Callithrix jacchus: one gene and its partners. The protein of the gene in region 2 interacts with the protein of the main gene of each other region in a biochemical or structural test. Links are inferred from orthologs where the notes say so. Each region holds a gene or a part of one and is shown on either strand. Other genes may lie near its edges.

Region 1 (4,302 bases), on a different chromosome or scaffold from region 2:
AATTATATAACATTTTCATGCACCCTTACATAAACAATTAGAAGCTGTTTACTTCTCAAGGACCCAATTAAAGATATTTTGTTTTTCGAGCCTGAACTGAGGACACTACAGGGGCCAAATGAGAGAAGGGGCTTGCAGTCCTGCCGCACTGAATATTCATGGCTGTGCCCCCACCCCAATATAATCCATTTCGCCAGGTTAACAACTCACTCATTTCAAAGCGATTCATTTGCCAACTCAAAAAAACACAGATACAACTTTAAATGCTTTCGGATTTTAATCCTCTGGAGTATTTATATGTGTTCTTGTCTCATCCCTCCAAAACTAATCCCAGAGTTTTGAGAATCTGGGAACTTGGGAAAAGGAGAAAACAAGCAGCAGACCAAGGAATCTGAAATGGTAGTTCATGACGTCAGCCGAAACTGACAGTACCTTTGTGTTGGTACTGACCTAGCTCAAATTACAAAATCACAAGAGTAATAAAACACAAAATACAGGTGTTATCACTGACAAGTCTAAAATGTAATTAAGCATGTTTTTTTTCCCCTCGCAGTCGTACCGTTTGCTCTGTATCTCAACGTTTCTGTCTCCCTAAGCCTCTCCCTTTATCATGAGCACACACCGTTGCATCTTGCTCACACATTCATTAGCTGGGACTGAGGAGTGAATACGATGCCAGCGGGTCCTCAGCGTTAGCTGTTAGATGCACAAACCTTCGCATCCTTTCCACTTCCACTGCACTTGAGGTTCAACAGAAGATCCCTGCAAGAACAGCGCCCAGAGAGCATTCTGAACAGATGCGCCCTTGGCTCCAGCAACCCGCTCTGCTGGGAAGTTTCCTCTAACCACTAACACCCACCTCTGATCCCCCAAGCTGTCACGACACAGGCTGGCTGGGTCGCCTCTTGACGGGGGAAGGGTTTTACACACACCCTGCTAGGCTGCCCCATGCCACAACCAAGCTCGCAGGGCAAACTCCTTCATGCCCGGCGGGCAAGCAGTCCCAGGCGCTCTGGCGCTTCCAGAACACCAAGGTCCCCTCCTCGCTCCAAGGAGCGAGCGCTCTCTGCCGCAGGGAACCCCCAGGACTGCAGGTCGAGGGGATGCTGGGGAAGCAGGGGCGCAGGAGGGAGCCTGGCGCGGGAGGCAAACGGGGCGCAGCAGCGGCTGCGGGAGCACTTGGGGGCCGCGGGAGGGGGCGGGGCCCCTCGGGGGAGCCGGGCGCGGGAGGGGGTGCGCGGAACAGGGACCTGGAACCAGCGGGCGCAGGAAGGGGCGCGTCCGCAGGAACCCGCGGGCCGCACGGGAGGCACTAGCTCCGCGATCAGCTCCGGACTCTCAGGAGCGGCTCAATTGCCAACTGGAGTGGGGTGCGGGGAGTTGGGGGGGGCAGACCCGACGGGGGCGTGCCTTTGCCCCGATTGGCTACAGGAACCTGACGCGAGGCCCCGGGGGTTGGCTTGGGGAGGTGGGAGCGGGGTGGGGTGGGTGCTGGGTGCCGGAGCTGCGGGCCCGGCGCGCTCAGAAACATGCTGAGGTCCCGGCGGCTCTTCCAGCAGCGGCAGCGGCGGCGGCGGCGGCGGCGACAGCGACAGCGCTCGGATCCGGCGGGAAAGGCGCCCGGCGCCCATGCCTCCGGCCCCGCGCCGTGGCTGTCCTGACCCGGCCGCGACCTCCCTCGGCGCACCCCGCCGCCCGGGCTCCTGGGGTGTTCCCTAGCCACTGCCCAGCCCCGCCACACCCACCGCCCCCGGCCTCCGCAGCTCGGCATGGGCGCGGGGGCGCTCGTCCTGGGCGCCTCCGATCCCGCCAACCTGTCGTCGGCTGCGCCGCTCCCCGACGGCGCGGCCACTGCGGCGCGGTTGCTGGTGCCCGCGTCGCCGCCCGCCTCGCTGCTGCCTCCCGCCAGCGAAGGCCTCGAGCCGCTGTCGCAGCAGTGGACGGCGGGTATGGGCCTGCTGATGGCGCTTATCGTGCTGCTCATCGTGGCGGGCAACGTGCTGGTGATTGTGGCCATCGCCAAGACGCCGCGGCTGCAGACGCTCACCAACCTCTTCATCATGTCCTTGGCCAGCGCCGACCTGGTCATGGGGCTGCTGGTGGTGCCGTTCGGGGCCACCATCGTGGTGTGGGGCGGCTGGGAGTACGGCTCCTTCTTCTGCGAGCTGTGGACCTCGGTAGACGTGCTGTGCGTGACGGCCAGCATCGAGACCCTGTGTGTCATCGCCCTGGACCGCTACCTCGCCATCACGTCGCCCTTCCGCTACCAGAGCCTGCTGACGCGCGCGCGGGCAAGGGGCCTCGTGTGCACCGTGTGGGCCATCTCGGCGCTGGTGTCCTTCTTGCCCATCCTCATGCACTGGTGGCGGGCGGAGAGCGACGAGGCGCGCCGCTGCTACAACGACCCCAAGTGCTGCGACTTCGTCACCAACCGGGCCTACGCCATCGCCTCGTCCGTGGTCTCCTTCTACGTGCCCCTATGCATCATGGCCTTCGTGTACCTGCGGGTGTTCCGCGAGGCCCAGAAGCAGGTGAAGAAGATCGACAGCTGCGAGCGCCGGTTCCTCGGCGGCCCGGAGCGGCCGCCCTCACCCGCCCCCGCGCCCGCGCCGCCGTCAGCGCCAGGACCCCCGCGCCCCAACGCCGCCGCCGCCGCCGCCCCCCTGGCCAACGGGCGCGCGGGCAAGCGGCGGCCCTCGCGCCTCGTGGCCCTGCGCGAGCAGAAGGCGCTCAAGACGCTGGGCATCATCATGGGAGTGTTCACGCTCTGCTGGCTGCCCTTCTTCCTGGCCAACGTGGTGAAGGCCTTCCACCGCGAGCTGGTGCCTGATCGCCTCTTCGTCTTCTTCAACTGGCTGGGCTACGCCAACTCGGCCTTCAACCCCATCATATACTGCCGCAGCCCGGACTTCCGCAAGGCCTTCCAGCGCCTGCTCCGCTGCGCGCGCAGGGCCGCCAGCCGGCGCCACGCGGCCCACGGGGACCGGCCGCGCGCCTCGGGCTGCCTGGCCCGGCCCGGTCCTCCGCCGTCGCCCGGGGCCGCGTCGGACGACGACGACGACGATGTCGTCGGGGCCACGCCGCCCGCGCGCCTGCTGGAGCCCTGGGCCGGCTGCAACGGCGGGGCGGCGGCGGACAGCGACTCGAGCCTGGACGAGCCGTGCCGCCCCGGCTTCGCCTCGGAATCCAAGGTGTAGGGGCCCGGCGCCCCGGAACGGCTTCCCGGGGGATCTCGGAGATCTGTGTTTACTCAAGACCGAAAGCAGGTGAACTCGAAGCCCACAAACCTCGTCTGAATCATCCAAGGCAAACAGAAAAGCCACGGACCGTTGCACAAAAAGGAAAGTTTGGGGAGGGGTGGGAGAGTGGCTTGCTGATGTTCCTTGGGTTGTTTTCCTTCTTCTTCTGTTTGTGGTCCGGCCTTCTTTTGTGTGTGCCTGTGATGCATCTTTAGATTTTTCCCCCCAGGTGGTTTTTGACTCCACGAGGATGGGAGTGGAAGCTGGGTGGGCAGGGGAAGGGAGAAGAAGCATTAGGAGGGGATTAAAATCCGATCAACCTGGCTCCCGACCCTGTCCCAGGAACAGGGGCAGTCTACCAGCCAGAGAGAGGAGAATGACAGTTTATCAAGGCATATTTATTTCCTTTTGCTTTCCAGAGAAATTTCATTTTAATTCCTAAGTAATGGTTTCCGCTGTTATGAAAGCGAAAAGGATGGATGCAAAAAAAAAAAAAAAATCACGTTTCAAGAAATGTTAAGCTCTTCTTGGAACAAGCCCCAATTTGCTTTCCTTGTGTAGGGCAAACCCTCTGATCCCCCGCGCGCCTGGATGGTCAGGCTACGGGATTTCTACCTCACACTGTGCATTTGCACAGCAGATAGAAAGACTTGTTTATATTAAACAGCTTATTTATGTATCAATACTAGTTGGAAGGACCAGGCGCAGAGCCTCTCTCTGTGACATGTGACTCTTGTCAATTTAAGACAGGACATGAAAAGAGAGAGAGAGACAGTTTTGATTACTGCACATGTGGATAAAAACAAAAACAAAAAAAGGAGTGGTTCAAAATGCCATTTTTGCACAGTGTTAGGAATTACAAATTCCACAGAAAACATTACTTGCACAAAAAGAAGTTAAATATTTTTTAACTGGGGAAGTGGTGGGCAGATCTTAAAAACTAAAATAAAATTCAAGCTCTACTTCTGTTGTCTAGTATGTTATAGAGCTAATGATTTATTGGGAAAATACCTTTTTATACTCCTTTATCATGGTACTGTAACTGTATCCATATTATAAATAT
Region 2 (3,511 bases):
CAGAACCTTAAGGAAAATGTGCACTGATTACTATCTAAGACTGCAGGGAAAAGATCCTCTAAACTGTAAGGAAGGACAATCAATAGATATAAATGCTTGAACACTGGAACTTTTTCTATGTTGTGCTATTACTTACCTCCTCTTAAGATAAGCAATGGTACATCGGCACCTACTGGAAACTGCTTTAGCACCTCTACCACTTGAAGATGTGTTAAATTCTGCACATTTTGATGGTAAATTTCCTTAATTATATCTCCTTTCTGAAGGCCTTGACACCACTGGCTATCCAATATCATTTTTACCTTCTGTCCAGTAGGGCTGTCAGCAATTGCAAACCCAAACCCTTTAGGGCCCTTAATCAAAGGGATAGTCAGTAGTTCAGGCTGGGAGCTGCCTGACGATGCCATGGATGCTCTCTGCTCACTTGTTTCTGATGGTCCATTGAGACCATCACCAGTCAAAGTGTGTCCCGATTTTCCATTCTGCTCCAGAACCATTGCTCCTGGCTTAAAATCCTGAGGATTCATGCAAGTCTCTCCCTTTGTTAGTGACTGTCCATTGATGACAGGGGTAGCAGCAACAATATCCACAACAGGATCTTCACTGTCATCAGGAAGTGGATAACCACGACATAACGTGAGGTTTACATACTGATTGACAGGTACCAACTGAAACATCTGGACAACATCTGCATGAGTGTGACCGAGGACACAGTTGCCATTGATGTCTACAATAACATCACCTGGTAAAACATAATCATGTTAAAAATATTAAAATCAACAAATAAGTTTTTTTTTTTGCCAGAGGAGGAAAAATAACTACTATTTAGCAACTAAATCTGAAACATCTTACTGTTAACTGCTGCAAAGACAGACTTCTAATACAGACATTAAACCTTTTCTAATTCCTCTCTAAAATGTACGTGTAAGTATCTAAAATCCTACTTATTTTAGTAGCAAAATAATTTTGACTTCAAGCTCAAGTGAATCATTAAAAAAAAATCCTGATAATTCATATTATCATTGTTAGTATACCCTCTGAGTCATATCTAAGTGACCATGCAAAGCTAGACACATTGTAGCAGGTATCTGGTACACAGAAGAGGAGCAAGTAACTCCACTGACTACTTGTACAGTCTATCTTTCTTCTATCTTATGAATCAACTAATTTTATTTATATATGTGTATCTATATGTGTATCTGTGCATATATACATACACTGACAAAGAGGCTGTCCTTAACCAAACTCTAGACAGGCTCCTCTGAGCTCTTTTTTCACTAGGCCTCATCCTTGGCATGTCCTTCAAAGCCCAGTTTTAGCAAGAATCCTGCTAAGTTGATTTAGCCAAAATCACCCATTCTTGATATATAATCTACGTCCTCATTCCGCACCATCTTCCAGGTGATTACTGACCACCTTAACCTGCATTCAGCAAGAATCCTGTCAAGTCTCTATAGCCAGAAATCCTCCTTCACACCTGATACCTTTTTTTTTCTTTTTAATTTTACCTTAAGTTCCAGGATATAAGTAGAGAATGTGTAGTTTGTTACATAGGTATACATGTGCCATAGTGGTTTGCTGCACCTATCAACCTGTCATCTAGGTTTTAAGCCCCACATGCATTAGCTATTTGTCCTAATGCTCTCTCTCCCATTGCCTACCCAACCCCTGACTGGCCCTGGTGTTTGTTGTTCCCCTCCCTGTGTCCATGTGTTCTCATTGTTCAACTCCGACTTATGCGTGAGAACATGCAGTGTTTAGTTTTGTTCCTGTGTTAATTTACTGAGGATGATGGCTTCCAGCTTCTTCCAGGTCCCTGCAAAGGACATGATCTCATTTCTTTTTATGGCTGCATTGTATTCCATGGTGTATATGTACCACATTTTCCTGATACAGTCTATAATTGACAGGCATTTGGTTGGTTCCTGTCTTTGCTATTGTTAATAGTGTTGCGATAAACATGTGTGTACATGCATAGTAGAATGATTTATGGCAGAATTACTTTATAGTAGAATGATTTCTATTCCTTTGGGTATATACCCAGTAATGGGATTGCTGGGTCAAATGGTACTTCTGATTCTAGATCCTTGAGGAATCGCCACACTGTCTTCCACATTCGTTGAACTAATTTATACTCCCACGAACAGTGTAAAAGTGTTCCTGTTTCTTCACAGCCGTGCCAGTATTTATTGCATCTTGAATTTTTAATAATTGCCATTCTGACTACTATGAGATGATATCTCACTGTGGTTTCTATTTGCATTTCTCTAATGATCAGTCATATTGAGCTTTTTTTTCATGTTTGTTGGCTGCATAAATGTGGCTTTTGAGAAGTGTCTGTTCATAACCTTTGTCCACTTTTTGATGGGGTCAAACAGTCTATCTTTAAATACCGCCTTATTTATTGAGTTTAAGAAGCTATTGGCTGGATGTAGTGGCTCATGCCTGTAATCCCAGCACTTTGGGAGGCTGAGGCAGGTGGATCACCTGAGGTCTGGAGTTTGAGACCAGCCTGGCTAACATTTTTAAAATATTAAAAAATTAGGCTGGGCATGGTGACTCATACCTGTAATCCCTGTACTTTGGGAGGCCAAGGCTGGTGGATCACCTGAGGTCAGGAGTTCGAGACTAGCCTGGCCAACATGATGAAACCCCATCTCTACTAAAAATATAAAAAATTAGCTGGGTGTGGTGATGTGCACCTGTAATCCCAGCTACTCAGAAGGCTGAGGCAGGAGAATCACTTAAACCCACGAGGCAGGAGGTTGCAGTTAGCCAAGACTGAGCTACTGCACTCCAGCCTGGGCAATAAGAGCAAAACTCTGTCTCAAAAAAAAAAAAATTGGCCAGGCGTGGTGGTGTGTGCCTGTAATCACAGCTACTCGGGAGGCGGAGGCAGGTGAATTGCTCAAACCCAGTAGGCAGACATTGCAGTGAGCTGAGATTGTGTCATTGCACTCCAAACTGGGCAACAAGAGTGAGACTCTGTCTCAAAACAAAACCAAAAACAACCCACAAAAGCCACTGATTACAATGTACTTTAAAACTTCATTCTAGTTTGAGAAATACTGAGCTGAAGATCAGAATGATGTTAATTTATGAATATATTTTCTTGTAATATCCTTCTTTTGCAGAGATTTTGAATTTGATTTATAAATCAGATTTCAAAAGGCAAAACAAATAACAAAAAATTCAACAGACACAAACAATGCATTATTGAAGACATTGAGAAGTCAGCTTAATAAATCCCTATAAAAACTGGTTTTGCGTTTCTGATTTACATTTAGTATGACTGTTTTGGTTGCAGAATCATTACCACTTGATGGTCATCAATTGGGTAGCTTTTAATAAAGCCCTGACTTAAAATTTGGCCCCTGTTGTCTCATCTATTTGCTTTTATTTGAATATGATTATTTAAAAGGTTAAATAAGGGTGCTTTAATTTGTTCTGATGGCTTTTAAAAAAACTCAATCTGGTGTTAAAGCTCCCAGAATTTTCATGGAAATATTGT
Region 3 (4,095 bases), on a different chromosome or scaffold from region 2:
TGACTTGCTGGGGACAGCGCTGGATTTGGGATGAACACTAAGTCCCTAGATTTATACTCTCATGCTGGCAAAACTACCTGGGCTCTCATCTGGCTAAGATCTAGGGTGAGGTTTAAGGGGCTTAACATATTTTCTGGTAATGGCTGGGCACAGTGGCTCGCGTCTGTAATCCTAGAATTTTGGGAGTCCGAGGTTGGCTGATCGCTTGAGCCCAGGAGTTTGGAGACCAGCCTGGGCAATATGGTGAAACCCCACTTCTATAAAAAATACAAAAATTAGCTGGGTGTGGTGGTGCATGCCTATGGTTCCAGCTATTCTGGAGGTTGAGGTGGGAGGATTACTGGAGCCCAGGGAGGTTGAGGCTTCAGTGAGCTGAGATCACACCACTGCACTCCAACCTGGGTGACAGAGTGAGACCCTATCCCAAAAAAAAGAAAAAAAAAAAGATATTTTCTGGTAAAAGCAAACAAAACAAAGCCTTATATCAGAGTGCCCAGGTTTGAATTCTGACTTCACTATTCACTGGCTCTGTGACCCTGAACCAGTTACTTAGCCTCTCTGTGTCTCAGGAATAATTCCTACTTTCTAGGGCTGTTAGGAGGACTCAATGACTTAATATTTGCAAAGCAGGTAGAATAATGCCCAGTGAATTGTACATGCTACATAAGTAAAAGAAAAAAGCAACTATTTAATAGAAACCAGCTTTGAAACCAGCATTCGCTGGCCATTCCCTGGCTCAGCCTCATTCATTTGGTATTTACTGAGTGCTGACTGAGTTTATTAGGCCAGTCATAAAGAGCACACACCCCACTATCTGGTAGGAATAACAGAAATAAAAAGACTCCCCTTTTTTTTTTTTTAAAGAAAAACATGATCATTCTAAACAGAGATTTGCACACAACTCTAAAGAAGGCCAGAAAAAGAACATTGATCTATTTCAGTGTAAACTGGAAAAAAAAAAAAAACAAAAACACCCACATTTCAATCCTTTGAATCCGTTCAAAAGACTGAATTTGGTCTAACTGGTTTGTGCATTTAGACCAGGCTTCGATACACACAAGACTTTTGGAAAATATTCCCATTCAGTGCCACCTATTCGACCTCTCTGGATGTTTTTCTTCACCTTCCTCATCCGTCTGTCTCCTTGAACGCCCAGAAAATAATCTCTGAGTTCATCTCTAGCCCTCAGGTAACAGACAGGGGAGGGGATGTGGGTTCAATGAGACCAACCCTCAGTCATTTCAAGAATCAACTTATAAATATCTGGGGAGGGGCAGGATTAGAGAAAAATCTCAGTAACTTGTAACGTCTCATTAAAAAATCTTGGTGCTTTAACTCAAACCACTTGGTAAGCCGCTATACGTACAGTTGGTTTAATAACTGATGGAAAAATGAAATTCCGCCAATCCGCACCCCTCCCCCAAATCCACCAAAGTCTCTTTAATGTAATCGCTTTGAATGCCCCGAACCGGGTCAGGCTGGCGTCTACGTCTGTGGCTGAAGCGGACCCTGAGGGATCCCGAGCCCCGGGCGAGGCCGTGCCCAGGCGGGTGCGGCACGGGGTTTCCCGGCAGCCGCGCAGAGGCCCACCCGCCCCTCCGGCCGGCTGCAGCGGGCGCGCCTACACCTTGCAAGACCAGAACGCTGTGGAAAGCGCTCGGGGCTGCAAGTGACGCCTGGCACTAGGGGCGGGCCGGACTGCCGGCCTCCCGGCCCTTCCCGGGCGCACACGGCCCTTGGGCCGCCCCCGCCGCCCACGAAGTTCAGCGGGCAGACGCTGGACGTAAGGTCTGGCGACTTTCCTAAACTCCAGCGACCGATCCGCGTCGCAGGGTAGGCTGCGCAGCGCGGGGATCTCGGTGCCCAGGCTCGGAGAGCGAGTGTTGCGCTCCCGGGCCGCGGCGAGGGAATGGTAACCGCCGCCGGAGGCACGGTCCCCTCCCCCGAGACTGCGATATTGATCAAGGGTTCGCAGGCGCGGGCCGCATTAATCTCCCTGGACTCGCAGCTTGCAGCCGAGGAGAAGGAGCAGGATGCGCTCCCGGGACTGGGGCGGGGGCGGGCGGAGTCGGGGAGCTATGAGAAGGTGCTGGGGCGAGGCGGGGAACCCCGCTTCAGAGCCTCCCGTCCTGGGGCCGGGGTCTGCAGGGAGGGCGTGGGAGGCGGAACCCAGCGTCTGCCCCAAAGCCTAGAGCGATTCTTGGCGCGGAAACGGCTACCCGAGTGGGCAGACCCCTCCTCCGCCAACATCCCGGCGGCTCAGCCACGATTTCTTTTCTCACCTGAGTCTCCCCCTGCCCACCAAACCCTGGCTCCAAAGGTCCAGAGAGTTAGGCTGCCCCAGAGCCCAGCCTTCCCCGACCTGACTGCCGCTCTCCTGGCGCCCCCTCCTCCATCGCACCCACAGCCCGGCCTGTCCCGCGTCTGCCCGGGGCTGGGGGCGCTCGCGCTGGAGGGCGGGCCGGCGGGCTCTTACCTTGACAAGCCGGAGCTGCGGGTGCCGTCCCATCCTCCGGCTCGCTCGGTTACTGTCCTGAACGCCCGGGTCCCCCAGGCATCCCAGAGGGGCCGGCGGGCTGCTGCGGGCTCGGGCAGCACGCGGTGGGCGGCCGGACTCCTCGGTGGCTGCCCCGTGAGGAGGCGCCCGGTTCCGCGCTCCCCGTCCCCGCAGCCCGGCCCGGCCGGCTCTCGCTCGCCCCTTCCCGGGGAAGTCTGGCCGCCGTTTCCCGACTCAGCCCGGCGGGAGGCCGCTTCTTGCCAGCCTAGCCCCTGCCGCCTCCCGCAAGGTCCGCGCGGCTCCTCGCCTTGGCTCCCCGCCCCCTCGCCCAGCTTGTCCCCTCCCTCCCCTTTCCCCTCCCCCTCCCCCCCGCCTCTCCCTCTCCCTCTCCCTCTCCCTCTCCCTCTCCCTCTCCCTCTCCCTCTCCCTCTCCCTCTCCCCTCCCCTCCTCTCTCCTCCCCTTCGGTCCCTCCTCCGCGCCTCGCCCCTCGGCTCCCTCCCTGCCCCTCGCCCCTCGGCTCCTTCCCCGCTCCCTCCTCTTCCCCTGGCCCGCCGCCTGCGCCCCGCCGCCAGGATCCCCTTTCCCTACGCCCGGGTTTGCGGCAGTCCTCCGGGCGTGCTTGCGGCGGTGGCGGCCGCCGCAGCCCGGGGAGAAGCCCGGGATGGGCGAGGGGGTGGCAGGAGAGGATGCAGCCTCCTACCTCCCGCCGGGCAGAGGTCCGGGCCTGGGAAGTCCAGGGGAGCCGGGGGCACTTGGGCGGGGGTGCTCAGGTGAATTTATGAGGGCGAGGCTATTGGTGGCGGTGGAACAGGGCGGTCCCCACTGAGCGAAGCCGCCGCAGAACCCGGGGAAGCTGCGACCTGCGTTTGGGCAGTTCCCGCCCTGCAGCTGGCTAGCGGGAGCTCCTCGCCGCCCCCACTCCAGCCGCGCCGGGCTCCGAGCCCGACTCCCAGCACCTTTGGCATTGACGTGCCTAGTGCGCGCTGAGACGCGAACGTTCTGCAGGATGAGCCCTTATTCATTAGTTCGTTCCTTCGTTCATTCGTTCATCTTACAATCTGAGTGCCTGCCCACTTTGGTTCAGGCAAGGGGCTGGATCTGGGAACCTTTTGGACCCGGGAGCCCCAAGATGAAAGGGAGACGGCGGTGCCCTGCAGGACAAGTGGGCACTGAACGCAGCCCTGGGTAAAGCCAGGTGCGGATTGCGTTGCAGCGCGGCGAACCCGGCTAGGAGCCTGCGGGCTGGGGGTGGGGAGGCCACAGCGCCCCCTCCCGGCCGAGTCTTCAGGGCAGCGTTGGGGCTCCCGCCAGACCCCGTGGTCGTCTTCTGGATTGGCTCACGAGCTCCCCATCCCAGGAAGTAACTCCCAGCCCTTCCGGATGAACAGAACTTTTGACGTCCTCTTCCCTCTTCCTCTCTCCTATCAGAGCTGATAAGGGAGAAGAGGAGTCACTGGGAGGTAGAGAAATCTTCACCCGCAGAGCCTAGGCTGCCTGGCCTATGCAATCCTTATAGGGTACACCAAAGCACCTGAGGCGCGGGCAATCGGCTTTGAAATCAAACTGAACCCACCTGCCCTGCATCCTGTGCACTGCT

The links.
Region 1: the proteins of MAGI3 (region 2) and ADRB1 interact in a test that uses a peptide from one of them, tested with the Homo sapiens proteins (2 studies listed by IntAct, with this or other methods). The link is inferred for Callithrix jacchus from reciprocal best matches to the Homo sapiens genes MAGI3 and ADRB1.
Region 3: the proteins of MAGI3 (region 2) and CRHR1 form a complex in vitro, tested with the Homo sapiens proteins (2 studies listed by BioGRID and IntAct, with this or other methods). The link is inferred for Callithrix jacchus from reciprocal best matches to the Homo sapiens genes MAGI3 and CRHR1.

Annotation. Positions count from the first base shown.
Region 1 is NC_133513.1:106,982,671-106,986,972, forward strand, and holds the start of ADRB1 (beta-1 adrenergic receptor), read left to right. Parts: upstream 1-1,500; 5' UTR 1,501-1,769; coding exon 1,770-3,197; 3' UTR 3,198-4,302. UniProt on the Homo sapiens protein: Beta-adrenergic receptors mediate the catecholamine-induced activation of adenylate cyclase through the action of G proteins. This receptor binds epinephrine and norepinephrine with approximately equal affinity.
Region 2 is NC_133508.1:151,599,124-151,602,634, reverse strand, and holds part of MAGI3 (membrane-associated guanylate kinase, WW and PDZ domain-containing protein 3), read right to left. Parts: intron 743-3,511; coding exon 137-742; intron 1-136.
Region 3 is NC_133506.1:86,534,962-86,539,056, reverse strand, and holds the start of CRHR1 (corticotropin-releasing factor receptor 1), read right to left. Parts: upstream 2,803-4,095; 5' UTR 2,510-2,802; coding exon 2,477-2,509; intron 1-2,476.